Rhinolophus ferrumequinum: one gene and its partners. The protein of the gene in region 3 interacts with the protein of the main gene of each other region in a biochemical or structural test. Links are inferred from orthologs where the notes say so. Each region holds a gene or a part of one and is shown on either strand. Other genes may lie near its edges.

Region 1 (7,550 bases), on a different chromosome or scaffold from region 3:
AAATCTCTCTCTCTCTTCCTCCCAGGGTGAAATGTGCTCCACCTCGAGGCATCTGGGGACAAATGAGCGTCTTTCTGTGGCACAGAACTCTGTCTCCCTGCAGTTCCCACACTGAGCCTATACAAACTGTTGTGGGAGGCGAAGGGGCCAGAAACTCCATGGAGTGGACTCCACCTGTAGCCACCATGCTGGTACCCAGCAGAGCTTAAATAAAGGTCAAGTTTGTTGCCCTGCCCATAGGTCTCTATGGCCTGGGCAGGTTCTGTCCCTCTTTTCTGAGAGGAGCCCAGTGAGCCAAACTAGTGAGAAAATGGGCCCAAGACTAAGGAGAAGCCTTTAATACAACATCCAATGTTTTACCATATGAGGATATTCTCTCTCCCTAACCTTCAACACTCCCCCACTGGCCAGCTTCTAGGGACCAATAGAAGATGAAGCATCTTGTAGATGAGGCAGCCACACAGACAGGTTATAATGCAATGTGCAAATATGACAATGAAGAACGATCCCAGGTACCAGAGAGGCAGGAAGCACTTTTTATGAAAGGGAGGATGGAGCCATGTTTGAAGTTTGCAGGCCCATCTCACACTGCTTTTGGGGCTAGTGCTCATTCACCAAAGTGGTGGGCAAAAGTGCCTGCTCCACGTATATTACTCCTCTCTCTCTTTGTTGTTGCTGTTCTTTTTTGTTGCTTTGCTTGTTTTTGTGTTTGCACATTTGCACAAAAATTAAATTTGTACAAAATTAAATGCTGCGTGACTTGACCCCCCTGTCCTACTCCAGGTGTTAATTTATATACCTGTCCTCCCCTCTCTAGACCCTTTCATTGCTTTTATCTAACGTGCATTCAACCTGTTAGGTCTCCCCTGGTCCTGCTGCCTTCATCCCACACATCTGTCCTCCCCTTGGACTCTGCTCAACAGTGCTTCAGCCAAGTGCTGGCCAACCTTCACCTGCTAGGTGCTCAGAGCTCTGCACCATCTTACCACTGAATCACACACAACTGAATGATATTACCTCTCAGCATGTCTGTTGTAGCTCCCGTAGCGTGGGGAGAGGACCATGCCTCCAACTCCTTTCATGTCCACTCAACGCATAGCGGTACTGTGCACACAGCGTCAAGTCAGACCTTTGCTGCGTTAATCCACTCCCAACACCAACCAAATGCCTCTCAAACAACCCATCCATTTGGGTGTTATCTAGAGCATTACTGATGTAGGTGCTTCGGGAGTCCCTCTAATATGTGGGCAAGGAGTGAAGTTTGACCATGGAGGGTAACCAACTCTTCCCTTGTGGCATCAGGTGCCCAAGACTGTTGCTCCTCCACGACAGGGACCGTGCCTCATTTACACCTGGGTCCTCAGCGCCTAGCACTGGGTCCAGCCCACAGCTGGTACTCAAGGAACATTTGCTGAAGGGAGAGATTATCTCCAGGACCCACACTGCTTGGTGGTTTTCCTTTCTACCGGAAACCTTAACACTCGGCCATCTGGAAGGCAGATGGGAACCCCATGGCTATGCCAGCCCAGAGACAAGGAAAACTGAACACATTTTTCCACAAGTAAGTTGGCAACCTCCTGCCAGGTTGAACAACTTTGTGACATAGATTAACCAAAAAAAAAAAAAAATCAAACTCATTGTAACGCTTTTCTAAGCAACCCTTCCTTCAACTTTCCTATTTCCATCAACACTACCATTCTCCACTCGCGCAGGCCTGCAGCCTTCCTGAAACTCGGACCAGTCTGTGCCCTTCATGGCCTATTAAAATGAGGTACCCAAGTGCTGCTTGCTGCTCCTTGATCACTCAGAATCACCCCTTTCAATCCTTTCCCTCCCACTCTTGGCCCCCATCCATACACAAAGACCACAACTGATGCCCTATCTTATAATATCCAGCTTCCCTGACTCCACTCTCCTTTACAGACCCCACAGGCTACCATCAGGCTATTTATTAAGTGCTGTTTTCAACTGGTCCATCCTTTGCTCACATAAGAACTTCACACTTTAAGCCATTAAGTCTGTGTTCTTCTGTTCTACGTGACCCAAGTGACTAACACGTTCCTGGAACCCTGTAATCCTCCTGTCTCAGCTAGGACAGTCACTGCCTCTCCCCTTCCAGGTATATGTAACATTTTCTGCCATCTCAAAATCTTGGCAAAGGTCTCACCTCTGCTTATCCAACCCCACCCAAGTTCCAAAGCCTGGGGCCACCCCAATCTCTCACATAAGATTTCCCCAAGGTCCAGCCCCACCAGCCTGGCCCTCTTTGCCCCCACAGAACTGACTCGAGCTGTCATATACTTCCTTCCTGTTGACTCACAAACACTCTCTCCTGTACTGAAAGTCAGAACAGCTGAAGAGGAACACACTTGTCACGGAGCACTTGTCTTCACATCCTCCATTTAGCCATTCAGGATCTTCCCTGGTACACAATTGTAGGTGACCACACACATGTGTATAGGAGAAATTAGGCGAGACAATTGTTCCGGGCAAATCTGGTGGCAAGGGTGACAGATACACAGTGGAACATTAACACTAAGCCACAGTGCAATCAGTGGGGTGTCGGGAACAGAACTGAAGAATAGAGATGTGAGCAGAGTCCACCGGGATACAAATGAAGCACACAGACAAAGGATGCTGCTTCAGGTCATAAAACTGGGGCTACCTTCCTTCCCAAAGTTTATGCCCATCGCAGCAATGAGCACTGCCAGGGGCCCAAAGTAAAATCACATCTCATCAGACCCGGGCACCACTGATAACGCGGGTTCAGGCCACCCCGCCCTTCCGGGCCCGGGCCTTACCGATCGAGATTTCCTGCGCGAAGGCCAGCGAGATAAGCAGCATGGGAAGCCCCACGGCGATGCAAGTGACCATCTTGTCTAAGGCCAGCTCCAGTCGCAGCCCCTTGAACTTGGGCTCCGAGGGCTCCTTCAGCAAGTAGTCCGAGAACACGTACTCGGTGGCCAGGTGTGCGATGGCCATGGCTGCGGCGCGCCGGGCTCGGCCTGGATAGCCCCGGAGGAGAGGCCGGGGTACCGCCCGAGTCTGGAGGGCTGCGCGGCGCCGCCACCCGCTTACCCGCCGGGCCCGTGTCTTTCGCTTTCCCTTTGCCGGCTGCCCAGTTGCAGCCACATCCAAGCAGCCTTTGTGTCTCGCGCGCCCGGCGGCCAGCGATGCCGCAGCTGCCTCAAATGGGCGCACGAGCTCTCGCGCTCGCTCTTATTTATGCCCCTGGCCTGTCGCAGACCCGCCCCCGCGCGCTCCGCCAACGCAGGTCCCTCCGGCTGCGCGCGCCACCGGGACTCCGCGCCGCGCTGGCGCTCCCGAGGTGCAAGAACCACCGAGGGAACAAAGTGCTTCCTTCCCGCCTGGCCCCTGCAGTGCGCCGCGGTGGCTGAAGCTGCCTCCCGGCCAGCGCGCGCGCTGTTAGCTCGCCCCGCCGCGCTCTTCCGGAACCACGAGGGACACCGGGGACCGAGGGGCGTGGAGTTTCCGGCAACTGCGGTGACGCGGGCCGGGATGGCGCGGCAGCATCCCGCGACCCTGGCATCGACCTCAGCAAAGGGATCATCCCAAAGAGACGTACCCCTGAAAATGCTCGCGCTTTTCTCCCATCCTCATTCTCCCACTTCCTGGCACCCGGGATTTTGAAATCATTTCTGATCGCGACCCCCTTACCCAGTGAACAGGATGGCCCCCTTTTATGCCCCATCCCCAACATTTCTACATGGTATAGTCAGGTTAAAAGGAGCTTCGAACGCTTCGAACAGCGACGGGTGCCATAAAAGCCAATCGAGCGGTGTGGACCGAGCTTGTGTGGAAGAGCCCTTCCAGGAGCTCTTCAAGACGAGGAGCGGCGGGGTCAGCAGTGGTGAGCCCTTAGAATGACCAGGTCTCAGGCCTCAATCACCCCTGCTCCGTCTGCTTTTCTTCTGCTTTCCCAGTGGGAGCCTTGGTCTAGGAGCCAATAGAGGGGTGCCCCTGGGGAAGAGCTGCCTCTGAACTATTTACAGGGAGTGGGTGCTGAGAAAATAAGCAGGAGATGCTCTAATCAGCAACATTTGGAGCAGACAGGACCTTCAAACGTGAGAACTCCTTGGGGCCAGTATGGCTGTATTCTCTGCTCTTTGTACATGGGCAGGTCCATGCACACGAGCCTCTTCTATATGCCCTCTACTCTCACATGTATTAAGTTGATGCAAAAGTAATTGCGGTTTAAAGGGTTAAAAATAATTGCAAACACCACAATTACTTTTACACCAACCTAATACATCTCCACCCTGGCCTGTCCTCTGAGCACTCATCCCACCGCCTACACAACTCTCCACTTGGATGGCTCACAGGACTTCAAACTCATAATGGCCCGAACTGTAATCCTCATCTTCCTCTAACTCTGAACTCCTGCCCTCTGTATCTTGCTAAATGCATTACCATCCCCCGATCTCAAGCCCGAAACCTGGGGCACCGTCTATAACACTTCCATGTCTGCCAGCTGCCACAACCAACTTCCAAATTCTCTTGCTTCTCTCTCCTAAATATAGAAAATCTGAGAGTTTTTCTATACCTGCACATCCAACACCCCAATTCAGGCCACCAGCCTCTCTCCTAACCACATACAGGAATGTATTCCCTCGGCATGCAAGCCAGTCTCTCCCACACTTTTTAAAAGCTCCAATCTAAAAAAATAAAATAAAATAAAAATTAACTGTTACATTGTTTTGTGCACGTGAAACTAATAAAAAAATAAAATCTCCAATCTGATCATGTCATCTCCCTTTCTTAAAGTATACATTGCATTTAGGATAAAATCCATATTTCTTAGCATGGCCACTGCCTGCCTCACTAATTTCACTACTTCCCATCCAGTTCTTCATGTTTGTCAGGCTCCTTGCCTCCTCTAGGGCTTCCTCTGCCCAAAACACTCCCGCAGTAGCCTCTTTGCCTGGCCAACTCTTATTGAACTTCCTGACCCATATGGATGTCATTTCCCCAGTAAAGTCTTCTTTGAGTACACTAAATTAGATGAGGTCACTGTGTTACGAATATAACTTTTATCTGTTATTGTTGCCCTCTATGTTTCTTCTTTTTTTCACATTTTATTAGTATTTTATTTGTGTTTTTGGAGAAGAGTTGCGGTTTCACAAGAAACACTGATTTTTCTTAAATAATAAAAAAAGGTAAAAAAAAAAAACCCAAAAACCCATTGTCTTAAAAGAATAAAACAAGTCTCTTCAGCAGGCATTGAACCTGTGCAGATTGGAGGAACGAGTGAAGCAGAAGTTACATATAGGAAATTCAGATTGATCCAGTTTTAGAAATAACACAAATGTCTTGTCTAGTTCTGTAAGGCTCCAAATGGGCCATCTCAGTTTAAAACTGGTAGCTCACAGACTCCAGGGTCCCAGCTCTTTTGCACACTAGGCGGCTCACTCATCAGGCGGCTGCATTTGTGTACAGAACTCATCAAACTGCTGCTGCTCCAGTTTAGTCAGGACTCTGTTGAGGGCATAGATCTGTGCTCTTTGTCTTTGCTTTAGCTCCTGCTGGGCTGATTGGTTGGCCTTCTCAACTCTCCTGACTGGTTCTTTAACTTTGGGTTTTTCTTTACAGTGCAGGTGGATCCATGACTTGGCTTCTGAATACTTAGTTCTGACCGCTACTCTCTTCGGATGCAAAATGACAGTGCTTGGGAGTCAGTGTCTTCCCTCCTGGCCTCAGGGCTCCCACCCCCCAGGTCAAAGACAGAGCCGCCTGAGGGGAGCCCTCGCCTTTCCCTACCTCCGGGCCACTATTTTTCCTTCTTAATGATAATCACAACTATAATTCAACATGTGTTTGTTTAACTGTTGTTTTATTTAATGTTTTTCACCCCCTTTATGTGGTAAGCTTCATGGGGGCAGGTCCATGCCCACGTATACCACTCTTGTCTCTAACACTTAGCACAAATGCCTGGCACATAGTAGTCTTTTAATAAATATTTATTAAGTGTCTGAAGGAACCTGAAAATGTTTCACCTTGAAAATTGTTTAAAAACAAGTAGACTAACTTACACTCGCTATCTGTACACTCAAGGTAAATATTAGAGGCCAGCGATGGGCTATTCTGGGCTTGATGGGTGGGAAGCAACAACGAAGTGGACACATTCCATTTCCTCAAAGACCTCAGGGCTTGGTAAGAGAAACAAGGCATGTACACAGTTAACTATAATACTGGTTGGAAAGGGTGAGTGATTTTGTAGAAGGTGAGGTGTGCCTAGGTGGGGTAGTGTATCAAAGAGTGGGGCCTAGAAGCATCAGTCTGTTTGTGGCAGGCAGAACTGGGACAGGAGCTTTCTAGAAGTGAGTGAAAGCATGGATACCATACTCTTTCTCTCCTTGTCAAAAGCTACACATCCAACAGGCTCAAATGTCTCCTCTAGAAGCTTTCCAGGACCCTCAGTTGTGACGAATCACTGCCTCCCTAGCACTTTTGTCTTCTGGTCTAGCATTTAGCTCCTTTTGCCTTGGGTGATGGTCGATTGCATCTCTGCTTTCTCATTACATATCAAATTCCTCTGAAGAGCTGGACAGAATCTAAAGTTGTGTAAATTGCCCTCAGCCCTGGCAGAGGGTTTTACATGTAGCAGGAAGTCAATCCACATTTGTTGAATTTGCAGTAGAGGCAAGAAAGAGAACATGTCAGGGAATGGGAAGTAGAGACACTGAAAAAGGGAAGATGAAGGTGAGGGTGTCAAAGATGAAAAGGGTGGGGCCAGAGAAGGTAGTCTGGACCTTTTTTCAGCAAGCCTTAGGGAGTGTTTGGAGGGGAGCAATATAAATAGGGTCGTGCTTTAAAAAACTTAATCTGCCAGTCACATGTAGCATGGATTGGAACGCAGACTGGAGGTAGAGAGGCCAGGTAAGAGGCTGTTGAAATTTTGCACGTGAGAAGTAATGAGAGTCCAAACTGGTGCCCTGTCTTTGAGGACCGAGATGAATGGCACAGAAGAGAGTGATAGTTAAGGAAGCCATTTTTCCTACTGCAAAAAATCAGCTCAAACAATCTGACATGTGCCAAGGTCCTTTGGGAGGAAAAGAGAAAGCAGGTCCAACTCCTGGATTTGTCACTTACTTGCTCTGTGGCCAAGGATGTGTCACTGGAAATACCTAAGCCTCAATTTCCTCATTTGCCAAATAGGGATGATGTTGCCTACCTCGGGTTATTCTGAGAATTATATGTGATAATACATGTAACAGTGCCTGCCACATCATGAGCGCTTAGCACTTGATAGCTGTCATTACCAACCTCAGGAGTTTAAGGTGTCACACAAGAGTGTATGTAACATTGCTTTTTTGTTTTTTTAATAGACTTTAATTTTTAGAACAGTTTTAGATTTACAGAAAAATTGAGCAGATGGTGTAGAGCGTTCCCGTGTGGTCCCACTCCTGCACCCAGTTTCCCGTATTAACATCTTACAATGGTATGGTATCTTTGTTACAATTAATGAACCAATATCGATACATTAATATTAATTGAAGGCTACTGTATTCCAATTTCCTTAAGTTTTACCT
Region 2 (7,754 bases), on a different chromosome or scaffold from region 3:
TTTTAAGATAAGGAACCAGAGGCTCACAGAGGAATTGTGATTTGTCCAAGGTCACACAGCTAGGAAGGGTCCAGGATTCAAACCCAGGGCTGGCCAATGCCAAAGGCTGAGCTCTGACCTGTCTTCTGACATCTCCCCACAGGACTGAAAGATGGGTGGACCTGAATGTATCCTGCCATTGGTGCATTTGTCCCTGCCGCCCAGGACCCACCTGGTATTTGAGGCCAGACTTGAAGTAGCCGAGGAACGTGGCCGACTCGAAGCCCTGGACCTCGCGGTGTTGCACGGCCCGACCGTTCAGGTAGTCGTCCAGCTGCACGGTGAAGATGGCAGCTGCTCCACTCTCATCCTGGGTACACTCATTGCCTAGGCGACATTCGAGCAGCGTAAGCCTGGCTTCCGGAGAGTAGTCCCAGCCTCCTGTGGAGGACTCTGGAGCCCCCAGCACGGAGCAGGCCTGGCTGTACAAACTGGGCAAGCCCCTCAGTTAATCCATCTACATAATGGGGGAGGCGGGGGCCGGACTCCATGGTCTCTGAGTCCTCTCAGCTCTAACACGTTCCCCTCCGCTCACCTCTCTCCCTCATTGCCCTGCACTCCCTCTCAGCCCTCCTGAGCGTGATGTCAGGCCTGGGAGCGTGGGCTCAATTCACACATTAGGAAACGGACGCTCAGCAGGCGCAGGACTTACAGTCACACTACAGAGCTGTGGCAGGGACTCCAGGCTCCCAACTCTGAAGGGTAAACTGAGGCATGGCTGGAGACGGGCCAGGGAAGCTGTGGAGCAGGTCCAGGGTCCCCAAGTCACCCCCAATTCTGAGTGCTACACTAACTCGTTTACCCCTCCCAACACCCCTTCGAGGTAGTGTGGCACTGCCACCATCATGTCCCCTTTCCAGAGGGACTGAGTGCCTTTCCAAAGGGCAGGGCTGGGCTCTGAACTCGGGCAGGCTGGCGCTAGAGTTTGGGGACACATAATCACCAGCCAAGGGCCTGGGACCTACTTGATGCTCAGTAGTCACTTAGCTCCCATGGGCGTCCCCCTGGGGACCATGCCTCAAAGGTCTGTGCTTTATGGGAGTGGGGCCTGGGGTGGGGGCGGGCCTCACCCAGCCAGTAGTGCAGGTCGTACTGCAGGTTCCCATTCCGCAGCTGCACTGTCTTCAGGATGACATAGGCATCGCCTGTGTAGAAGTTTCCGTAAAGGTTGGGGGGTACAGGTACCAGGTCGAACTTCTCCACACGCCAGATCTGCAGACCAGGCACCTTTCCGGCCTTGAGGAACTCGGGGTGTTCCACCACCATGCTGCCGGGCTGGAAGAGACAGGGCGGAGCCTGAGCAGGGGTGGGGGCCCTGGCGGGGAGAGACCCCGGGCATGAGGGAGGGTGGTTTCCAGCACCAAGAGCATCCCACTTGAGCCTCTGACTCTCCCCACCCCCGAGGCAAGTCTAACCCCTTCTACAACCCCTGTCTCAAGGGGTGAGCAAACAGGGAAGAGTTTAGGCTCCAAACCCTGCCCTTGGCCAGAGAGTAATCAGTTCTCCAATCATGGGGAGACAAAGGGCTCCAGCTCCCTTCTCCTTCCCTTCTTAGTGCCAATTGGATGGGACAGCTGAGGCACAGAGAGGTGAAGTGACTCTGCCAAGGACCCCCAGCCAGAAAATGGCATGGCAGGGATTGCCCCAAGCTCCAAGAGCACGAGCTCTGGGACCATGAAAAGAGCCCCTCGGATGGCAGTGGTAAAGCTGGGGGTCCCCAGGAGCTCAGCATTGTTCCCTTCCAGTATCCTCAGTGACTCTTAGAACTAGAAGGGTCTTCAGAGAGCTCCTCATCCAACCCCATTCTGCAGATGGGGAAACTGAGGCCCAAAGTGGGGAGGGGACTGGCCCACGGTCACACAGCCTGTTTGTTTTTGCTCTTTGGAAATGGGAAGATATCCCATGCCCTGTCCATGTCCCCATCACATCCCCAAGAAGGGCCTAAATGACTTAGCCCAAGTGGCCTCCTGCGCTGTCTGCCTCCTCCCTTCTGCCCCCCAATACCCCATCCCCAAGTCCCATTTCTTAGAAAAGGCAGAGAGGATGCAGCTGGGGTCTGCAGGAGCCTGTTGGAGATAAGGAGGTCAGGAATGGGGGAAAGGCCATCAGACATGCACGGGGCTAGAGATGGAGCAGAGTGAGACGGTTAGCCTGAGGCCAAAGGGCAGAAATCAGCAGGCACAGGTCACCTGGCCGGAGGACAGACCTGATGGGAGAAGTCAGAGAAACCGGACAAGGAGAACTCAGGCAGAGGGGTGAAGAAACGCAAAAAGGAAACAGGAGAGAAGAGGAAAAACCAGACAGGGCAGAGGAGAGATCAGAGAGGGGAGAATAAATAAGAGTAACAACAATAAGCACACAGAGGTGACATCATACAAAACAAAGGGAGAAAATATTGGAGAGGGAGGGAAATATCAGATGAGAAAGAGGAATCTGAAATGGAAGCAATAAGAAGAGGGAAGAAGAGAAATCAGGCAGAGGGAAGGAAAAACCAGATGAGGAAAAGGAGAAATCAGGCAGCAGGGATGGATAAGACATCAGAAGGCGGCAAGGGAAAAGAAATCCGGCCAAGGTGAGGTTAGCCTCTAGGGAGGTTAACAGCCAGGTCCCCGAGGCTCCCACCCCCATCAACGGGAGCCCGGGAAGCAGCAAGAGATACTTACAAAGCAACAAAACAGTTTATCCATTCTAGACCTGAATTACTCCCCTTTTCCTAGCGCTGTATCTGCAAGAACTTACAATAGAGAGTTACTCTGGGAACCCCCGGTCCCCCTGGACACTCACCCGCGCCTCGGACGCCCGGCCCTGGGATGCGGGTGTCTGGGCCGCCCCCCGCGACGCGGTGGCCGCACGGGCCGGCGGCGACAGCACGCACAGCGCCAAGACCAGCGCGCCAAGCAGGGCGGGCGCAGAGCGGTGCGGAGCCATGGCGGCGATGGCAGCAGAAGACCCAGTCAGCAGCCACCGCCTTCGGGTCGCTCACTTTAAGTAGCCACCCGCCCATCGCATCCAAGCCGGGAACGCCCTGCAGGGAGGGCGCGGGGCAGGGTTGGGCCCCAGCGGGGCCGGGAGGGGCGGGGATCTGGCCTGGATTTTGGAGACATCGGGGTTCCCATCGGACCAAACCCACTGGGCGTGGCCGCCCCTTCACCCCAGCTCCAGGGCAGAGCCCAAGCACAGGGGCTGGCATACAGCAGGCGCTAAGTCTATGGATGCTAAATGGGAGAATTCACGAACGGCAGGGAGCCCAGCTCAGCGTCCTGTGAGACCCACGCAAGACCCCAACCCAATCTGCACCTAACGTCTCCAGGACTTATTGTAGGTTCACCACGCCTCATACGAGGGTTGACACATGACATCCTTTACAGAGTGGGTATATCGGCAGGCCCATTTTACAGAGGGGGGAAACTGCCGCGAATAGCCCGGCCACCTGCACACCGGGACATGGTGCAGCCAAGATTTGAACCCAATCAGTCTGGGTGGCCCAACTCCCAGGAGCTAGGGGCAGACTGGACCGGGAGTAAACAGAACTTAGCGGGGGGGGGGGGGGGGGGGGGGGGGGTGTGGCGGGAGGGGGTGTCCGGCAGACCTCTCCACTCCTGCAGTTGCAGGTTCTTCTACAGCATTCAAGACTGCCTTTCTTTTTTATTTTTCAACAGTTTTCATTTTTTAAAACTTATTTTTTATCAAAGATTAAAGTCACATATTTGTACAGAGTTACTTCTCCCCAGGGGCAACCACTTCTATCTACCCCCTTTAGCTGATGATTTCAGTGTTTACCTTCATGTCTTAAATAACAAAACCTGTTGCATCTTGTAGTTGTTTTTGTTTTGGTTTTTGTGTTTTGTTTTGTTTTTCCAGTTCTAGGTCCTATCTATTGGCTCCCCCTGGGAAGACAAGGTTTTAAGCCTTGTCCCCACTCACAGGCTCCCTTCCCGTTCCTCCACCCTCCCACTCGTGAGGCAGAGTCACTGCATTAGGAGAAGGACTCTTCAGACTCTCTTAATCCTGCCAATCCCTCTCTCCTCCCTCCCATCACACTGCTCATCTATGTCCAAGTTCTCTTTGCATCCCAGATCTCCCCGTCTCCCAAAAGCCTGGAGGGACGTCAGGAAAGAGAAATGGGGAGTTGGAGACCTAGCTCTGACTCCCACCACTGTGTGTAAGTTACTTTCCTTTTCTATGACTGTCTCCTCATCTACTAAATGGGTACAGTAGCTGCTGAGGACTAAATCAATCTCTGTGTATGTGTGAAAATGGCCTGGCCTGCAACCAGGTAAACGGGAGTTCCCGTCCCCTTCCCCACAGCTATGGTCCCCTGTCCCAGCCCCTCCTGGAGCCCCAGCTTCTATCTAATCAGTGGCAATTGGACCTCGGCCCTCCACAACTTCTTTCTACCGAAGTGGGTCTGTGGGACAGATAAAGGGGTAAGGGAACACACACACACAGAGGATTCAGATCGGAAGGAGAGTAAGAAGACTTCATAGAGAAAGGAACTTGTGACCACGGCGTTGAAGGAGAAGGAGGAGGGAGACTAAGAAGAAAAGGCGTTTTCAGGGCAGGAACAGCAGGGACAAAGGGCAAGCAAAGGAACGCAAGCAGTGGATAAGGAGGGGTCCAGTCTGAAACACAGGGAAAAAGAGGAGCCGAGGCGGGGAGAGGGCGGCAGGAGTCACAGGGCTCGAGCGTTACACTGAAGAATCTGAACTTTATATCTGGGTGTCTGTGGGGAGCCACAGAGAGATGCCAAGTTCTCAGGGCTGCCTGTCTAGGCCCTGGCCCAGGGAGCCTGCAGTGGGCCAGTTCAGGCCTAAATTCAGACAGTTCTTCCCTCTCTTTAGGCATTTGGGTGATTATAAAAACCCCACAGTTGTAAAACAAACAAACAAATAAACAAAGAAAACCCACAGTTGTCATATGCTCTGATGGAAGCATAAACCGGCTTCACCTCTCTGGGTAGCAATTTGATTATCCAAATTCGAAACACACGAGGCAACAACAGATCCACTTTCTTCAGAATTACTTACAAAGGAACACAAAAATACATGTGCAAGGATGTTCACTGAAGCATTGTTTGAGGAAAACTGGAAAGGACCCAAATGTCCTGGTTAAATAAATTACGGCGATGCCATACAATGGACCTCTCTGCAGCTGTGAAAACACAATGAGCTAGATGTGATTGTGCCTGGCACATAGTAGGCACTCAAGCACGGAGAGCTGTCCAAGGGCAAAAAAGCAAATTGTACGACTGCAGTATGACTCCTCTCCTTTTTTATAAGGGTGTCTGTGTTTGGATACATCCTTCAAAAGTCAAGAAGGACAAATGCCAAACTGTCAAGGTGGTTTGCTTGGAAGAGATGAGAACAGAGAATTTCCACCTCTGATACTGTCGTGATAGCCTGAGGCGGCAGTGAGCCCCTCGATCACTGCACTCAGCAGGAGGACACATTTTAGGGTGATGACAACATTCTACCCTGGATTATGGGGATGACTGCACAACTGAAAAATCTACTAAAAATCGGAGCGCTGTATGCTTACAATGGGTGAGTTGTTATGGTATGTAAATCATACCTCAATACTCTTGCTGAAAATAAAAAAAAAATGAAAACTTGCTCTGGGAGTTGAAACTATTTACAAATATGTATCCAATGCAATTGATGATTTTTAATGAAACACTGATCTAGAAAAAAGTCCTTTTCAAAATGTATAGTGATGCCTGCTCATTAGAGAATTTGGAAAATCCAAACAAGTAGGAAAAAGAAATGTCCTGTCATCCCAGCCCCCAAGAGCGAAGTGGAGCTGGCAGCTGGCAGCTGGCCCACGTCAGCAGTCCCTTCTTGGAGCACTGTGGCTCTGACCTCCCCACTGGGTGATTAACGGAGGGTGTGGTCTTGGGCCCAGGGGTCTGACAAGCAGCCCAGGGTCACTGGCCCTCAGGTTAATGGTCACAAAGGCCTTGCAGCTTTGCCTGCCACATCTGAGTAGCTCTGGAGCCTGGGCCCTCAGCATTGGAGACCTGGTGAATGGGCCCTGGGCCCTGCCCTCCGGAAGCCCACAGCCTGGAAACTCTACTTGGTAGAGATGTGTGGAGCCTTTCATGGGGGCAACATGGTCTTATGCTGCTCCCTGCCTGGAAGAGGATATATGGGTTCAGGAGAGTGGGGGACTTGGGTGTGAGAGAAAGATCCCAAGGTAGAAAGGAAGAGGCCCCACTGCTAGGCCTGGCTCTGCCACTGACTTCCTGGGTGATTTGGGGCAAGTCACTGCCCCTCTCTGAGCCTCGGGGTCTCCATTGCAAAAGATGAGATAGGTCCCTATGCTATTTCCAGCTCCAGCATTCCCAGATCCTGGCTGTGCAACCACATCCAGAACCTACATGTCTCTGAGCCTCAAGGTTCTTATCTGTAAAATGGTACTGGACCAGGTCATCTGTACAGGTACTTCTGAATCTGACAGTCCAGCACCTGTCCTGCAGAAGGAGGCATTGCCATCACCATGCCACCTCTCCTCTGGGCCCAGACATCTCTGGGAGAAAAGAGGGAGGAAAGGAGAGGGGGGGTCCAAGGCTGAGTCTCCTCATAGCAACCAGTGTACATAGACATTCAAATTCCCATTTTACAGATGGGGAAACAGACTCAGGGAGGTTCGGTCACTTGCTCAGGGCCACTCAGCTGGAAGGAGGCATTCCTGAGATTCAGACACAAGTGTGGCTGGCTCTAGTCTCTAAGGTCTATCTGGGGAGATGAAGCAGGGCCTCCTGGCACCATCCAGCCTGGACAGGGAGCAAGTGTCCTTTCCAGGTAAAGGGTTGCAGTTGCTAAATCAGCCAAAGGCAAGCCACGCCTGGCAGCCAGCAGTCTCTGGGGCAGCCGTCCCCACCACACCCCCCAGGCCAGGGCAGGAGGCTGGACCGGGAAAGCCCTCTGCCCTCCACACACCTGTGTGAGCACCCAGGACAAAGGCATGTCTTAGGAAGAAGCTCAGGCTGTGGCCACTGAATGGACAATGGCCTGTGACACTTACATCCTAGGCCACTCATGGGCACTCAGGCCAGTCACGGTTACTGTGAGTTGAGAGGCAGCCTGGCTCTGCTGCCACTCGCTCTGTGAGCATGTCCTCAACCCTGCCCTTCTCTGGACTCCAGAGGTCCCCTGGTCTTGGTTGTTCCTGGCTCCTACCCGGTACCATGAACAAAGTAGGCAGTTTTTCAGTGTCTGCCACAGGAAGAAGCCGTACAGCCCACGATCCTCCCCTGCAGTTGGACCCAGGATGGCCGCGGGCTTCGGCCCTGCCTCCTCTGTGACCTTAGGCTAGTCTCCGTGTCTCTCTGGTGTCCCAGGGCAGTTACCAGAGCCTGGAGGAGGCGGCCTCACCCTCCGCCCCTGGCCACAGTGTACACAAGGCCTTGGCCAGGGCTGGAAGACGCCGCCCTGTTCTTTTCTCTTCACCTCAAACAAAGTTGTTTTTTATTTCCCAGCAGCTGGCCACTCATGGGAAGCCTCCTGGAGTTTGTTTGCTGTTCTCTGGGTCCTCCTGGGAACACCCGCCCCTCTGGCCCAGGATTTTGCTAATTGGGACAATGGTAAACAAAGAAGCAAGTAATAAAACTCAGTGAAACTGGACAGGGCTGCAGGGAGGTCTGGAGAGCCCCCGTGGACCTGAAAGGATGTGTGTTTTAGAATTTGGGAGACTCAGTTCCTTGAAGTGACTCAGTT
Region 3 (7,129 bases):
TCTTGGATACCTTTTATAAAAATTACCGATAACCTACAAGACCTCTTTCCTCCCACTAAGAACCACTCCTTTGTAGAGGCAGATTCAGGTTTACAACCACCCATTAAAGAAATCCTGCTTGCCAGAGGTTTGAAACTGAGAAGTTTATTTGTTATTTGCGCCAGTCATTTACTGAACACCAACTGTGCGCAGAGTACGGTAGTACATCCTGAGCCCATCAAGTAAGGGAAGAGACAAAGACACTTTCCCTATGTGGAACTTTCACCAAGGCTCACTGGTATTCAAAAGTGGCTCAACTAAGGCAGAGGCTGGACAGGGTTACATTTGTATCAGATAAGTATCTTACTCTACCCTAACTCAGAAGCTCTAGTAGCAATTTGAAGGCAGTAACAAAATAGGCAGAGAAGAACATTACATAGAGATTTACAAAGCATTGTAACGGACATTATGTCGTTTTATACTCACAAGCCCAACAGATATGTAAATTACTTACGCCTAATTTATGGATGAGCTAGTTAGTATAGACAGCCCTTGGGACTTGGCCTCAGGTTGTCTGCCTACAGAGGACCTATTTCCCTCCATTACATTTGTATTTGTTAAATGTGAACAAAATAACTAACAGTCTAAGAATTCCCACCTCTTTTTCTAGAACCAAACACCAGTGCTTCCCTTCTTTGAGGCAGAGCTTAAAGAACTACCTAATACGAGGCACCAGAATAGATTTAATGACATCCATGAAAATAAAGACTGCTTTCTAGCACTAGAAGGAGGATGAAGCAGAAGATTGTGTTAAATTAGGTTTGAAAGCAAAACAGCAAAGAAACATTGTAAATGCTTATATCAGATAAGATGTTAGTCTTTTTTTAAAAAAGGGCAGGAGGCAAGACCATTTTTCAGGATAGCAAAAGCAAATCTGATTTAATTAGATACAATGTTTCATGTCTTTTTTACTGTGAACAGGTCTTATTGCCAAACTCCAGTAAGTTGTTCATTCATTCATTAAAACAAATCATAAATTTGAAAAATCTTTTTTTGCAAGAGTAAACCAATACCGAAGCTCAATCATCAGGCTATAATAGGAATGACTTAAGCTTTCCATTTGGTTCTTAGAGGTTATGTGCCTATAACATATTCAAACCGGCAGAGCACATTTTGATACAGTCTGGTCTAACCGTCTTGCTAAGCCCCTCCTATTACTATCCTGCACATCCACATTTTTCAGCAATTCCATAATTCACCTCTACCGTTCCTTTCTAAGCCACATCTTTTAATTATAATTTGCTAAGTAATCCCAAAACAGGTTTATTTTTTCTGGATAGGGAATAATTAAAAGATAATTGTGTAGTGTGGGCATTCACTTGTGCCAGGCTCTGGGTATGGGGAAAGACAATAAGGAACAAGATAAACAGAGTCCCTCATGGAATTTGCTTAGGGAAGCAAGTGGGGAAGATAGTAAACAAGCAACTGCAAAGGGTATGACTTTCCCTTCTTAGGAAATGACAGATGGAAAAGGAACATAATAGGAAAACTTAACCTTGAAGTGTTTAATGACAACAGAAACATAAGGAGACGTTCCTCAAGCAAATGTGATGTGATGGGGGAAAGAGGGAATGTAAGAGTGTTTCAGGCAGAGACCAGGTATTAAGATCAGCATGGCCATGCAGAAAGTGAAAGGGTGCTATCATAAAAGATAAGGCAGGGGAGGGAACCAAGGAGCCAATCTGTGTTTGGCTTTGTTAACCATGTTAAGGGTCTGGGTTTATCATACGGGCAAAGGAACAGTTTTCCAGATTTTTATTTTGCAAAGCCTGTGCTATAAAGAATGGATTGAAGAGGGGCAGAGGGTCTGGAAGTATGGAGACCAATGAGGAGGCTGGTGCAGCCAGGTGAGCGCCTAGGGTGATTTAAATCGGTTATGGAGAGAAGTGAACAGATGCAGTGGACATTTAGGAGGTCAAGGAGGCTTGGTGGCTAACCAAGGAAGGAGCTGGGAGAGGTAGGTGAGAAGGTTCGTTTCCGGTTTCTTGGTTTGGTGCCATTTATTGAGAACAAGGAAAGAGGCAGCTGCCTTGAGGGCCGACACACTGAAAACAAGAGTGAGAAAGGCACTCTTATTCACCATGGCCTGGGGGGATTTCAAAGCAGCTCCCAGGTGACTGGCCTTGGATATATAGTCACAGGGAGGAAGGAGCTGGAAGGATTCACCGAGGGCTTCAGGTCTGAAAAGGAATTGGAGTTTAATGCTGAAAATTACCTCTCTAGAAAACTAAGTCACACAGTCAACCCGAGAAAATCCAAGCTCGAGACAGGCAAGGCAGCAGAGACCAAACCCTTGCCCAAGAGTGGGAGGATCAGCCCCGAGAAACCGCCTGCCGGTAAGCACCAAACTCGCCTCCTGCCCTGGAGACAGCGTTTCTCGTCGCCGATCCTCAGCTCCTCCCTTCCCGATTCAAACCTCAGCCCGCCCTCCCTTTCCAAGCATCCGTGGCCTCCTGCTCCCGGGTCGGACCTCTTACTACCCGGCCTCGACACTCGGGCCCAGCGCCCGCGCCCCTCCCCACCAGGCTCCGCGACCCGGGTCCAGCCTCCTGCTACCCGGCCTCGGCCTCCTGTCCCCCAGGCTTGGCTCTCCAGCCAGGTCTCCACTTCTCGGCCGCCACATCCCCAGCTCAGTCGCCCGCCTGCCGCCTCGACGCTCCCGGCTTGGCCTCTCGGTCTTGGACCCGCCTCCCGTCCTCCGAGCTCCGCAGCTCCAGCAGGGTCTCCGCTCCCCCGCCGGCCGCTGTCGGGCCTCCACACCCCCCGCCCGACCGCCCACTACCCCCGACCGGGTCTCCAGCTCGCTGGCTTCAGTGCTCGTGCTCGCACCCGTCGTCGTGGCAGAACAAAGGATCCTCCGCCCGGACCGTGCCCACCTCCTCCGTCATCCCCGAGCAGCTGCAGGTCTGGACAGGTCTCTGGGAAGGGTGCTGTGCTTGGAAGGATGGAGGGAGCTGGCCCAGAGCTAACGGCCCCGCGGCGAGAAGGGACGAGGGCAGCACTCACCGAGCAGCCCCCACACAACAGCCAACAGCTCTCCCCTCTCTGCGAAGCTTGGTTTCCGCCGCCCGCCGAGGGTAGCGCTGGGCTCGGGAGCAGGCCCCGCCCCCACTAGCCCCGCCCCGGCCCCGCCCCCTCGGTCCTGGGCGCTGCACTCTCCGCAGACACGTCCCCGCGGCCCCGGGCGCCCCGCCCCCTGGCCACGCCCCCGCCGACCCCGCCCCCTCGGTCCCGGGCGCTGCGCTCCCCGCAGACACGTCCCCGCTGCCCCGGTGCGCCCCGCCCCCGCCCCTTCAGGACAACGACCCGCTGCTGTCTCCCGGGCTCCCCGCCTTCCCACCCCTCCCTGCGCGCCCGGGATCGTCGCCCCAGCCGCTTTCTCTTAGGCGCGCGTGCTCCCCGCCCTCCCGCCCCCGGACGCCCCGCCCCCGCGCGCAATTTGAAGACTGGATTCCGGTCTCGATGGGCACGTCATGGGTTCCGCCAGCTGCTGAAGGCCGAGGGGTTTCCGCCTACTGCGCGGGTTTCTGGAGGTAAACGGACGGGGACCTGAAGGCCGCCCCGGGCCCGGGGGGCGGAGCAGAGGGAGCCAAGGTCGGGCCTGATGCCCAGTGTGACCTCGGGGATGAAGGGAAGCGGGCCGCGATCCGCACTGGAAATCTGCTTCCCCTCGGGCGCCCCGAGGCCTTTCCTTAGGTCACCCCCAGTTCCCCGTCCCTAAATCAAAAACCTTAACTGCCCCACTCGTTCCTGCCTATTTTGGGTCACGAACTCTTTTCAGACCCTGATGAGACCTAAGAATTGTTTTCGCTGAATATACCAACGCTATTGACAACGAAGTTCTGCGTCAAATTTCAAGAGGTTCGTAACATTCTGACAAGTCAGGGACCCCATGATAAGAACAAGACTGCCCCCAACACTTTTGCCTACTGGGGCATAAATCAGGGGCTATAATTTATACACAAATATACCTCGCTATATACCAGGAGTGCCAAAAAATGTATACACATGACTTGTGTTCATCTTTTGTTATCAGTATATAGTAGTATAATTTTAATACAGTTTTTTTCCCTTTCTTAGAATGTGTATACATTTTTTTTTGGCACCCTCTGTATATGGCTACCATTTGTTGAGTGTTTATTTTGTGCTCTTACATTTTCACACTACGTTTTCTTATTTTATTCTTCCAACAACCCCTGGAGGTGGGAATTCCAATCCCCACCCGAGCTTAAAAAGGTTAAGTCGTTTGCTTTTGTTAAAAGGAGAGTTACAGGGGTGGTTATAGCCGAGCTCTCAACTGCAGAGTTGCCGGTTCAATTCCCGCATGGGCAGCAACTAGGATTGAAACCGGCGACTGGACTTGGGGGTTGGGCTGTGCCCTCCACAACTAGATTGAGGGACAATGACTTGGAGCTGATGGGCCCTGGAAAGGCACACTGTCCCCTAATATTTCCCAATAAAAAAATTAAAAAAAAGTTACAGGAGTTAAACTTGGACCCCAGGAATAAAATTTAGGCCTTTCTTAATCCCTCCCAAGTTGAGAGAGGACGGATGTTTGGCAGTCCCTTTTTTTTTGCTGCAGTAAAACTGAAGAATGGGACTTACTCCCAAACCCAAACAGTGGTTCAACGTGCGGTTATTCATAAGGAAGGCGCTGGTGTAGTTGAACAAGTCCTGTTACCCCACTGTGATACCCAAACCCCTTCCTGTGCTAAACTGTCTTACCAAAATGATGCTTCAGTTAAAGCAACAGCAGCAGTTTTCTTTTTCTGTGTAAATTACACGAATTTACTTAGTCTAGAGAGACTTTGATTATATCAAACAGTTGGCTGGAGACACAAACAGTTGTCTTCTTAACCTAGTAATTTCTTTTTACAAAGGGTCTTAGGGGTCAGAACTTGATCTTGCCCTTGAAGGGGAAGAAATTGGGAAAGGGAAGTGGGGTATTACAGGTGAGAGAAACAGGAAAGAGGGGCACTTGGAGTGGCCAGGTGCGGGGACTGGTCATTATCATTCATTTGGTGAGAGGGCTGAACAGTAAGACATAAACTGCACAAGTGGTTTAGGGCTAGATTCTGGAGAGAGTTTGGATTTCCTGAGGTAAACTGTAGTGTGGATTGAGTGACGCTCTGAATCATTCACGAGTGCCCCTGGAAAAGTTATGCAAATGGACTTAGGGGTGATTGGTCTGGCAGAGTTAGGCTTTTTGCATAGGACATCCTGTGGGGATAGTAGAAAGGGGCAACCGGAAAAGAACAGTATGTCTTATCCTTACAGGAGATTTTTGGAAAATTTAAATATGAGTTACTTCTGTTCAAGCATAGAGAGGCAAAGTGAACTGAAGTGGGGAAAAAAAGAAAATTCAGTTAATTCGTTTTATTTAATTCTTTAAGGTGTCATTCATCTGGAATGTACATTTATATAATAATATTACTGTAAATGAATTTTAATCACATACTTTATTATGAATACTTTAGCAGTGGGAGAAATAGTATAACTGTATTCCAAGAGGCCATAAAAGGGATTAAGAAAACCTTGCCAAATAACAGAACCTTACTAAATACTAGAACTAGAACACGTATGCAAGAAAACACAAAATACTGATGAATCCATTCAGAGGGCAGAGGGAGAAGCTGGAGTTGGGGAATAAGAATTGACTTGTGATTAGACAAAAACAAGAAAGAAACCAAGAGAACTGGGCTAGAGAGAGCTATGGCAAGGCAGGTTTCAGATCTCCCTAGAAGCCAGTAATCACGAAGCATGTGCCCCCTAGTCCAGCTGCTCCTGGGAGTCAGGCTATCAAGTGTCATAGCTGGGCAAGTCTAGGCATAAACCTAGGGAAACCAGAGCTACTTAGGTTGGCTTTCTGAGTCATCTCTCCACGTCCATCCCCACCTCCCCCTCTCTGAAAGGACTAAAGCCAGCCTTTTTTCTAGCCTGACCCCTTTTACTTGTAAAATCAGTTTCAAACATGGTTAAATAAAAATTCTGGCGCAATGTTTAGAAATAAACAATAGGCTTACTATTTTAAAATACAATACATATTTTTCTTTGGAACTTGGAAACTGTTACCAAAAATCGGTAGTTATGGACCCTATGTGGAAAGGGTTTTTTGATGTATGGTTATAGAGAAGAAAGAACTCTTTCCCCACCAGGAATTGAAAGCATTTCTGGAGGATAAGGGCTGAGAAATACAGATGAATTCCTGTTCTTCATTTCCTTTGCTTTTGTCATTCAGCCCTCCCGCTGGAACACTCCAAGCCCCAGTTGTCCTCTAACCCTCAATCCAGCTGTTAAAAATTTCAAACTGTGTAAAGACCAGGAGAGCATAATAGATACTGAACTTTTTCTCTCTCTTGACATTCATGGTTTTCTCAGTTACTCACTCCCATGGTCATAACAATATTTTTACAAAATCTAAAAAAAATTTCCTGATGTCATCGTCATTAAGTGTGAAGATCCACATGGTTAGTCCTAGTCAGTTATTAGGTACTGGAGCTAAAATTCACATCTGATTGCATTCTGTGTTTATTTTCTTCATTAACTAATCAGTGGGCTTTATTAAAAGTTAATAAATTTCATAGGAAAAACGTCAGTTTCTCCCAATTAGATTATCTAAATGTAGGGAATTTTTATCTTTATGTGAAGCAGATTAAAGTGAACTGAATACTCAGAATCTAGCAATAAAGGGCTGTATCATTTTGTATTGAAAAATTAAAGCAGTTGTATTAAAAGTTGCCCCATCTCTTCAGTTGAATGAAATTACATTCCTTTCGTAAGTGTATCTGTTAGGAAATTTATGTTGACACCCTTAGAATTATATTTGTTTCTTGGTTTGTAATTTATAATTTTCATGTGGATTAGGTGTCACAGAGAAGAATCTTAAGTCTGTTATAGTTGAAATCTATGGATAATATGCCTTTATTTCTAGCCATGTCATGACATTCCTATCCTCTCAATCTTTTAGGGATATTTTTCCATTCAGGGAGTATATATCATTTGCCAGTGGGTTTGTGTTGTCACAGAGTTTTCTGCTAAAATTCTAGAGAATATTTATCAACTTGATAAGTGCAAGTACTGGAAAGACATT
Region 4 (7,808 bases), on a different chromosome or scaffold from region 3:
CACAAGCCCCTCTCAGAGAAGGCCACCTTGCGTGGCTGCCATGTGGGAGATCAGAGGGCAGCAGGCTGCTGAGGGACCCTCAGCTTGGACATTGTCACAGCTTCACTTCACCCCAGGTGTCAGCTCCCTCTCCTCTCCCAGGTCCCGGATGCTCTTCCTTTACAGGTGCTGTGGGACTGTGGCTCGTCTACTGTGTAAGGACATGAAAGCAGGCGGCTGGGTGACACCTAGCATGGAGGACGAGCCCGTTATCCAGGGTGCGTGCCAACTACTGCTCCCGCAGGAGCACAGCTATGTAAGCGCTGTGCCTCAGTGTGCGCCAGAGTATTGCAGAATCATCCTTCTGCAGGAGGACCTTGTATAGATTGACCATGAGCCCTTGGTTGGTGCTCAGAGGCCCTATTTCTCCCCAGCTTGGCTGTTCTCCATGGCCTTTCTGGGGAGATGGATCACAGGCTGGAGGGTGGAGGGGTTCCCCACTGCTTGGGTCTCCACGTCCCCATCCTTCCCCAAGCACCCCTCTCCCCAGATCCAAGCTAGCCAAGCTCAATCTCACCTGAAAGGAAGCCTTCTTTTCTGTCGGGTTCCCCGCGCAGATTTGAATGGCAGGGTCATAATAATTTCGTAAGTAGCTTTTACACTCCCAATCCTCTTGCACAGTCAGCTCCACTTCCTGTAGAGTGTTTGCTAAAGTGCCCATCAGGGTGACCTGTCCCCAGCCGGCCACACTGCACTTCTGTCCTGGCCTCACCGAGTCCTTGCCCCTGGGTAGGCGGAGGGGCTTCACAGCTTTAGTCAGCTTGATATTTCTCTCCAGCTGATGGGGCAGAGGCAAGACAGCCCAGGTCAGCCAGCGACCCCAGGGCCTGGACATGCGATGGGTCTGCACTGTCTTCCTTCCCCCCTGAGGCGCGGGGACTGGTCAGGTGGCCAGGATGGGCAAGAAGGAAGGAAGAGGTCACAGTGAGAGGAGAAACAATCTGGACCCAGGAGAACCATCGCAGGAGGAGGTTTCCTTACCTGCAGTAACATGATGTCATTGGAGATGTTCTTGGGATTATAGTCTGGGTGGGGGATGGCTTTTGTCACCTGGAAGACCTGCTGGGTCTTCTCCTGTTGCTTGATGTTGTGGGCCCCCAGTGTGACAATGATTGAGCTGCACAGAGAGCAGAGTGGGAGTGTGGGGGGCGTGGAGTCTCAGGACATACCGCCCATGAGCCGCGAAGGGTAGGTGACAGCTGAGGTGGGACAGGGCTGCAGTTAGGGGAAATTGAGGCAACAGGAGGGCCAGGAGCTGAGTGTCCTCTCTGCTTCTCAAGGACACTGAGGATAGGGCTTCTGGGAGCTGTCTCTTGGCCTCAGGCAGTATCATGACAATGCCTGAGTTTCATGTTTACCCTAATGCAGACTTTCGTCTTCCACCATTGCTGGATTTGGCCAGTGTGGTCCCTCTCTTCTCAACTGTGCCAATGTCTCACCTCTGACCCTCTGAGGCCAGCTTGCCTGTCCTATTTCTCAGTTTTTCATCACCCAGTCATGCTCTCAGATGGCTCCTGTGAAGAGCTCTTGTGGGCTTGAGTTAGCAGGAGTTCAGGGAGCTCACCTGGGCTACAACCCCCGGGGAAGGACATGGGACCCTTTAGGGGTCTGGGAGGGGGTAGGCTAGCTGCTGCCACTTACCTTCCGCTGCAGTGAGCTGCCGTCAGAACAAAGTTCTCTCGCACAAGGACACCTCCGCATATTTTCTTCTCCCCCTTATCTACAAACTGAATGTAGGCCATGTAGGGGCGAGAGTGGGGCTTGGCCTCATGTCCTCCGATGATCTCCTCTGAAGGAAAAGTTTGTTGTGCTTCTATGCACTCACTGAGTCCACCATGAAGACATTGACTTAACTCTAAACTGCTGGGGACTTGGGAGCCTGGGCTGGCCTCGAGCTTGGAGGGTCTCAAGTTTCTCCTCTCAAAAGGGAAGAGCAGCGGGCTTTGTCTATGAGTTTTTCTCCACACTTAGTTGGAGGTGAGCATAACTATCTTTGGGACAGCAAAGTCCTAGAGACTCCTGAAAATTCATTTCTGGACATTGCTTGGTTTCAATTGAGTTTCTGATGTTCTGTGGTCCCGTGCAGTCCAGGACTATGCTGCTATCTAGTGGCCAGACTTAAGTTTAGGGATCTGGTTTTATGCCCAATAAGTGTTTATTGGCTGCGTGAAGCCATCAATGGACCTCTTGAGGAGGTTTGGTAGGGGTAGTGCTGTGGGATGCTGGAAAGCAGAGAAGTTTGGGGTTGCCAAACTCAGTGGCCCATCCTTGAAAGAGGGGAGCCACTAGTGGCCTGGGAAGAAAAGCAGAATTGGAGAAAGGGAATGAGGCACCTTGGGACTGAGCTAAGGCAATAGGAGTCTTCTGGGGACAGTGACCCCAGCAACTTTGGGGTGTGCTGAGCTCTGGGCTTCCTTCCTAAGCAGACACTGAGGAGAGCACTTGTCTCATCCCAGACATGGAAGCTGGTACTGCTCTCCAGTTTTCCATCCTCAGCCATGCACTTCTAGGAAAGTTCCCCTTTCCAGATGGCGAAGGTAGGGCCTGGGGAGGAAATAGAACCCACTGGATTTTCTTGAGAACAGCCTTATGCCCTGCCTTTTATGCTGGTAGCTTATCCAGCATCATGCTTGGGAGTCCGAAATTTGACAGGAGCTTGGGTTCAGCACATTCCTGGTGGATAGATGGGTCAGGGATGTGCAGAAGGGGCAAAAGTTGTGCGCCCTCTGTGGGAATGAGAGTGGAGATTGTCACTCACCTGCCTCTGCCCTGGGGGGCAGTAGAAAGGCCAGCAGAAGCAGGAGCAGGAATGGCCACATCTTCCCAGGAAAGCTGCCCAGATTGGATCGCTGGTGTTCCTCCGCGCTGTCTTTTAGCCCCCGGGAGAGGAAGGAGGTGCAGGTGGGCTCAGGGACCTCAAGTTCCTCTCTGGTTTTGTAGTGCTTCATTTTAGAAGGGTTTCTATGAAAGCTTCCCCGCCCTCACACCTCCTGCCTGATGACGTTTTCTGGGTGGTTGTGTGAGAATTAGGCATAGATCACATCAGTAGCCACAGCTGATGACTCAGAGCCGACAAATTGTTCCAGCCCAGAGCAGGAACCCAAGGGTCTGAGGTGGGGACTGTAGGATGTGGTACTGACCAGTAGACGTGCTAGAACCCTGAAACCTGAGTCCCCAGTGATAGAACCACGAATGCCTTATTTCCATGCTACCAAGTCCATCAAGATAATTTCTTTTGCAGATGTGTGCTTAGGCCCTTCTCTGTGCTATGATGAAACGTATTGGAGCTGTGTCTCCTTCCCTTACAGAGCTGGTGGAGGAGACAGAAACATCAGTGACCAGAGTACTGAATGGGAAGGGCCATGGTTGAGGAATGCCCACGACAGTAAGAGAGCATGGACATCGTCTACTAAACCGATAGAGCAACTCATTCATCATCACAGCTTCCTTCCTAGGGATTTTTGTCCTGTTAATCTGTTAATCTCAGGTTTTCTTCTGTTAATTTAGGAATTAATCTCCTGTTAATTTGCAAAAGCTCAGAGCGATACCGTCCATCTCTCCTGTCAATATTTTTAACAAAAGTCCTGCACTTGATGTGTATTGGCCTAAAGTAATGAATCACTGTGGCCCTACAAATTGAATCCACTGATTGACGTAAGCCGACGTCATTCCTATTTTGGGCACGCTGGGGTTGGTCTCACTCAAGCCACTCGAATTAGGACTCAGAAAGGGCTGGTTTCCCATGGGAAGTTCAGATTGCTAAACTGCCAATACTGCGTGAAGTGGGAAAGCATGCTGGGCAACCAAAGGCCAGTAATTGTCCTGTTAGTATTCTCTGTCCTCTGTCCAGAGAGCCACACTTCTGAAATAGCAGGCTTGGCACATAATAGGTTCACACTTGATAAACAAATTATGCTGATGACCTCACTATACTGTAATGGACCTTTGTTTCTAAACAGCCCAAGCCCAATTCTCTTCAAAAAACAACTAAGTATCTCTGAGTGGTTAGATTCTGGTAATTTAAATTTCCATCTTTGCATTTTCTGTGCTTTACAATTTTTCCATGAGGAATAATATGTATCAAAATGCATAATTTCAGTGTAAATGTTCTTATCATACTCTACTTTTTTGAACTTAGCTTGCCTAGTAGACATTTTAAAAATAAAAATACTTCTCTGATTATAGTGTTAATATATGTTCATTAAGAAAATTTGGAGAGTAGAAAGGAAAAGTATCACTCATTTGCCTATCTCCCACACATAGACTGTTACCATAGGAAGTGCATTTTAAATACATGGGATCATCTTATGTACACAGTGCAATTTTCTTTCATCCTCACTTAACCCTATGATGTAAGCATTTCCCCCATGCTCTTAAAAATCTATTATTCAATACCACTACAGTCTCTCTTTACTAGTTATTAAAAAAATTGAACATGGAATTAATTTCTAGAATTATTGGAAAATTAAAAAAATAATTCAATCAAGAGAAAACAATGAAAATGATCTGATTTCTGATTATTCATTGATAATCATCTTTAATATCATGATCTAATATATTTTACCCTCATGTATATCTTTATTTTTAAAATTAAAAAGGGATTATGCTAAACGGAAGATTATGTTATGACCTTTATTAAAAATTGAGGTGAAATTCACATAACATAAAATTAGCTATTTGAAAGTGTACAATTAAGTGGCATTTAGTGCATGCGACAACCACCTCTCTTTAGTTTCAAAACTTTTCCATGAGTCCATGAAAACATTTTGTCCATACCCATTAAGCTGTGGACCCATTAAGTTGTGGGTTAACTTGGGCACTGAATCGATTCCCGTTCTCCTCTCCCACCCTCCCCCTCCCTGACCCCTGGCAACCACTATTTTTCTTTCTGTCTCTATGGATTTGCATATTCTGGATAGTTCATATAAAATGAATCATACAATATGTGACCTGTTGTGTCTGGCTTCTTTCACTTAGCATAATGATTTTGAGGTTCATCCAAGTTGTAGCATGTATCAGTATTTTTTTCTTTTTTTATGGCCAAATTGTATTCCATTGTATGTGTATGGCACAATTTCTCCATTAACCGTTAATAAACACTTAGGTTGTTTGCACCTTTTGGCTATTGAGACTAATGCTGCTATAAATATTTGTGAACAGACTTCTGTGTGGATGATATGTTTTCATTTCCCTTGGATATACGTGTATACCTAGGGGGGATTATACCTAGGGGGGACCTGCTGGGTCGTGTGGTAATCCTCTGTTTAAGTTTTTGAGGAATCACTAAACTGTTTATTGCAGTGGTTGCACTACTTTATATTCCCACCAGGAATGTACAAGTGTTTCTATTTCTCCACATCCTTGTCAACACTTGTTATTTGTCATGTTTTGATTATAGCCATTCTAGTAGGTATGAAGTGGTATCTCATTGTGATTTTGATTTACATTTTCTTAATGACTCCTGAGATTTAGCACATTTTTCTGTGTTTGCTGCTCATTTGTATATCTTCTTTGGAGACATGTTGGCCTTTCTCACAATCCTCATTCCTATCCCCCCTCACGGTTTGGATTGGTTCTTTGAGAGTTGGGCTGGGGCCCTCAACACAGCCACCTTGATATGCTATGCTGATTAGGCTGAAAATGGAGAGGGTGGGGGAGTTCAGGGAAATTTTTCTTTAAACTGTAATGGCTAGTCAAATGGCCAAAGCTGTGTAGGAAAGTTCTCCCATATCCAGATGTAGAAATACCAATTTAAGGTAGAAGAAAGTTTACTGAGGTGCAGACATGTGGAAAAGAATGTGAAACAGGTAACTTCCCAAGAAAAAATCTGGAGAAAGCATCACTGGGGAGAATACATTTCTTCCTAGATGTGACTAAACAGTCAGACTAAAAGATGGTGAAATCCATTTGAGACTTATAAATTTAAGAATCTGTGTCTAAGTAAAAATTAATAATAAACATTATTAATAAACATGTGTATTAATAATAATAAACATTGGAAAAGAAGATATGATTAGTTTGTTGAACAAATGAGAAAATAACATCTAACATCTCAATGCTGGCTCTGTATTGATCACTGACCGTAGAGCCTCAGTCCACCCTCCAAGCTTGCTACTGATTTTCTTCCAATTCATAAATGAGAAAGCCAAGACACTGAGAAGGAAAGGGCCTTGTTCTATATAATTCAGCTCATCAGAATGGAGATTAGAATGCAGAGATGTGATTTCATAGTCTGTGATCTTATCCACCGATTTATAAACACCATCATTTCTTATATTGTTCAAGGAATCTGGGGAAAAATTAAGTGGGTATTGAAGAATAAAAGTTTCTGTCTATATCTCTAATGTGGGACTCTGGTTCTCTTAGAAGAGAAAGGTACCTCAGTGGCTACAACATTGTGATAGAAAAGGTCTTTGGATCACATTCCCTTTGCTCTTATCCTTTATTCCCCTGCTGTTCTTCCTCAAAGAGCAGGAGAATGTCATGCCCGGCCCATGAGGGACAATACCCTTGGGCCTTGGCCTCTCATTGAATCACATCTAGTACTTATTGGAAGTGGGCAGGACCATTCCTTGTAGGCAATGACAATGGCACAATCACATGACATTGCCGCACTCATACATGGCATTTGAGGCTGCCGCTATAAGCCAAATTCTCTGAGCCTGATCATTCTCTTTAATTTATACCTAAAATCAGAACCTATAGCACAAGGGGCCAAAACTTGGCTCTAGCTCATTTCATTTGACCATGAGACTCAGTCGTGCTGTTGAGAAGATATTCCTGCTTCAGTTAGGGGTTATCTCTGCATTCTTATTAGGAGGCTGGGATGATAGTCAAATTTCTGGCGTGCTTACATGACATCAAAACCAGTTTTGACAGAGAGACCTGTCAGTGAAGGAGAACCTGGATACGTGTAGAAGTGGTGAGGGTCGTACTTCCACCTGGCCTCTGTAGTAGAAGGATGGGGGAGAGAGGGCAGGGATGGGGAGACAAAATGTCTATAGGACAGATGCACATCTGTGAGATTTGCAGTTTTGGCATCAGCTAGAACACCCCTTGATTTCTCCCTGTTGCCTACAGCAATCGTTGCCCAGCCACCAACAAAAAACAAGGTCTGGATGTTGGATTGGGGGTAACTCAGAAAAGCTCTGGAGTGAGTAAATGTCTGGGGTGATGAGTGCAAAGATGACTGCAGAGGAATGGGAAGAGAGGAGGGCTTGGGTGAGGACAGTGCACCCATCCCCACTGAACTGGGAGAAGTGGAACAATGCAGGCCCAGAAAAGTCAGTTGGTGTTGACTGATCTTCTGGGTGGGGGAGAGAATTGGAAGGGAGTGATGTTCTGGGTTGTGATGTTGCATTTGATGTGACCTTAGATCACACTCAAGAACCGCCTCCCCAACTCCCTCACCTAAGGATCTTTATCTCCCCAGGAACTCTGCCCACCAAGGCCATTTCTTTTCCTCAAAGCATTTTGTTTCCACAAGACCTAAAGCTCATACCTTACCCTTCTGCAGCAAATGGTTCTTTCTATTCCCATCTTGCTCAGGGGCTAGTGGTGTGCACTTTCTCACCATGTGTGTACGGGATGTGGCAATTGGTTTTGTTTGGGGTAGGTAAGAGGAATGCTGCTGAATCATTTACCAGAACCTCTAGTAGATGATTGTAGAACAGGTGGGTCTTTGTATTTCACAGCTCGGGTCAGATGTAACAACGTGTTACGTCTGGAAATCTAATTCACACCTAAGAATTTTTGTGTCACATCCCCTC

Evidence for each region.
Region 1: of the proteins of CASP3 (region 3) and PANX1, one has a biochemical effect on the other in vitro, tested with the Homo sapiens proteins (2 studies listed by IntAct). The link is inferred for Rhinolophus ferrumequinum from reciprocal best matches to the Homo sapiens genes CASP3 and PANX1.
Region 2: of the proteins of CASP3 (region 3) and GSN, one has a biochemical effect on the other in vitro, tested with the Homo sapiens proteins (2 studies listed by BioGRID). The link is inferred for Rhinolophus ferrumequinum from reciprocal best matches to the Homo sapiens genes CASP3 and GSN.
Region 4: of the proteins of CASP3 (region 3) and granzyme B-like, one has a biochemical effect on the other in vitro, tested with the Homo sapiens proteins (2 studies listed by BioGRID). The link is inferred for Rhinolophus ferrumequinum from reciprocal best matches to the Homo sapiens genes CASP3 and GZMB.

The regions. Positions count from the first base shown.
Region 1 is NC_046294.1:65,127,656-65,135,205, reverse strand, and holds the start of PANX1 (pannexin-1), read right to left. Parts: upstream 3,010-7,550; 5' UTR 2,983-3,009; coding exon 2,802-2,982; intron 1-2,801. UniProt on the Homo sapiens protein: Ion channel involved in a variety of physiological functions such as blood pressure regulation, apoptotic cell clearance and oogenesis.
Region 2 is NC_046295.1:71,655,734-71,663,487, reverse strand, and holds the start of GSN (gelsolin), read right to left. Parts: upstream 3,010-7,754; 5' UTR 2,968-3,009; coding exon 2,824-2,967; intron 2,769-2,823; exon of another isoform or gene 2,727-2,768; coding exon of another isoform or gene 2,703-2,726; intron 1,315-2,702; coding exon 1,110-1,314; intron 367-1,109; coding exon 212-366; intron 1-211. UniProt on the Homo sapiens protein: Calcium-regulated, actin-modulating protein that binds to the plus (or barbed) ends of actin monomers or filaments, preventing monomer exchange (end-blocking or capping).
Region 3 is NC_046287.1:77,146,364-77,153,492, reverse strand, and holds the start of CASP3 (caspase-3), read right to left. Parts: upstream 3,017-7,129; 5' UTR 2,928-3,016; coding exon 2,916-2,927; exon of another isoform or gene 2,869-2,915; intron 2,194-2,868; exon of another isoform or gene 2,123-2,193; coding exon of another isoform or gene 2,120-2,122; intron 1-2,119. UniProt on the Homo sapiens protein: Thiol protease that acts as a major effector caspase involved in the execution phase of apoptosis. Following cleavage and activation by initiator caspases (CASP8, CASP9 and/or CASP10), mediates execution of apoptosis by catalyzing cleavage of many proteins.
Region 4 is NC_046289.1:74,677,804-74,685,611, forward strand, and holds the start of granzyme B-like, read right to left. Parts: upstream 3,010-7,808; 5' UTR 2,988-3,009; coding exon 2,798-2,987; intron 1,829-2,797; coding exon 1,681-1,828; intron 1,157-1,680; coding exon 1,021-1,156; intron 818-1,020; coding exon 557-817; intron 1-556. UniProt on the Homo sapiens protein: Abundant protease in the cytosolic granules of cytotoxic T-cells and NK-cells which activates caspase-independent pyroptosis when delivered into the target cell through the immunological synapse. It cleaves after Asp.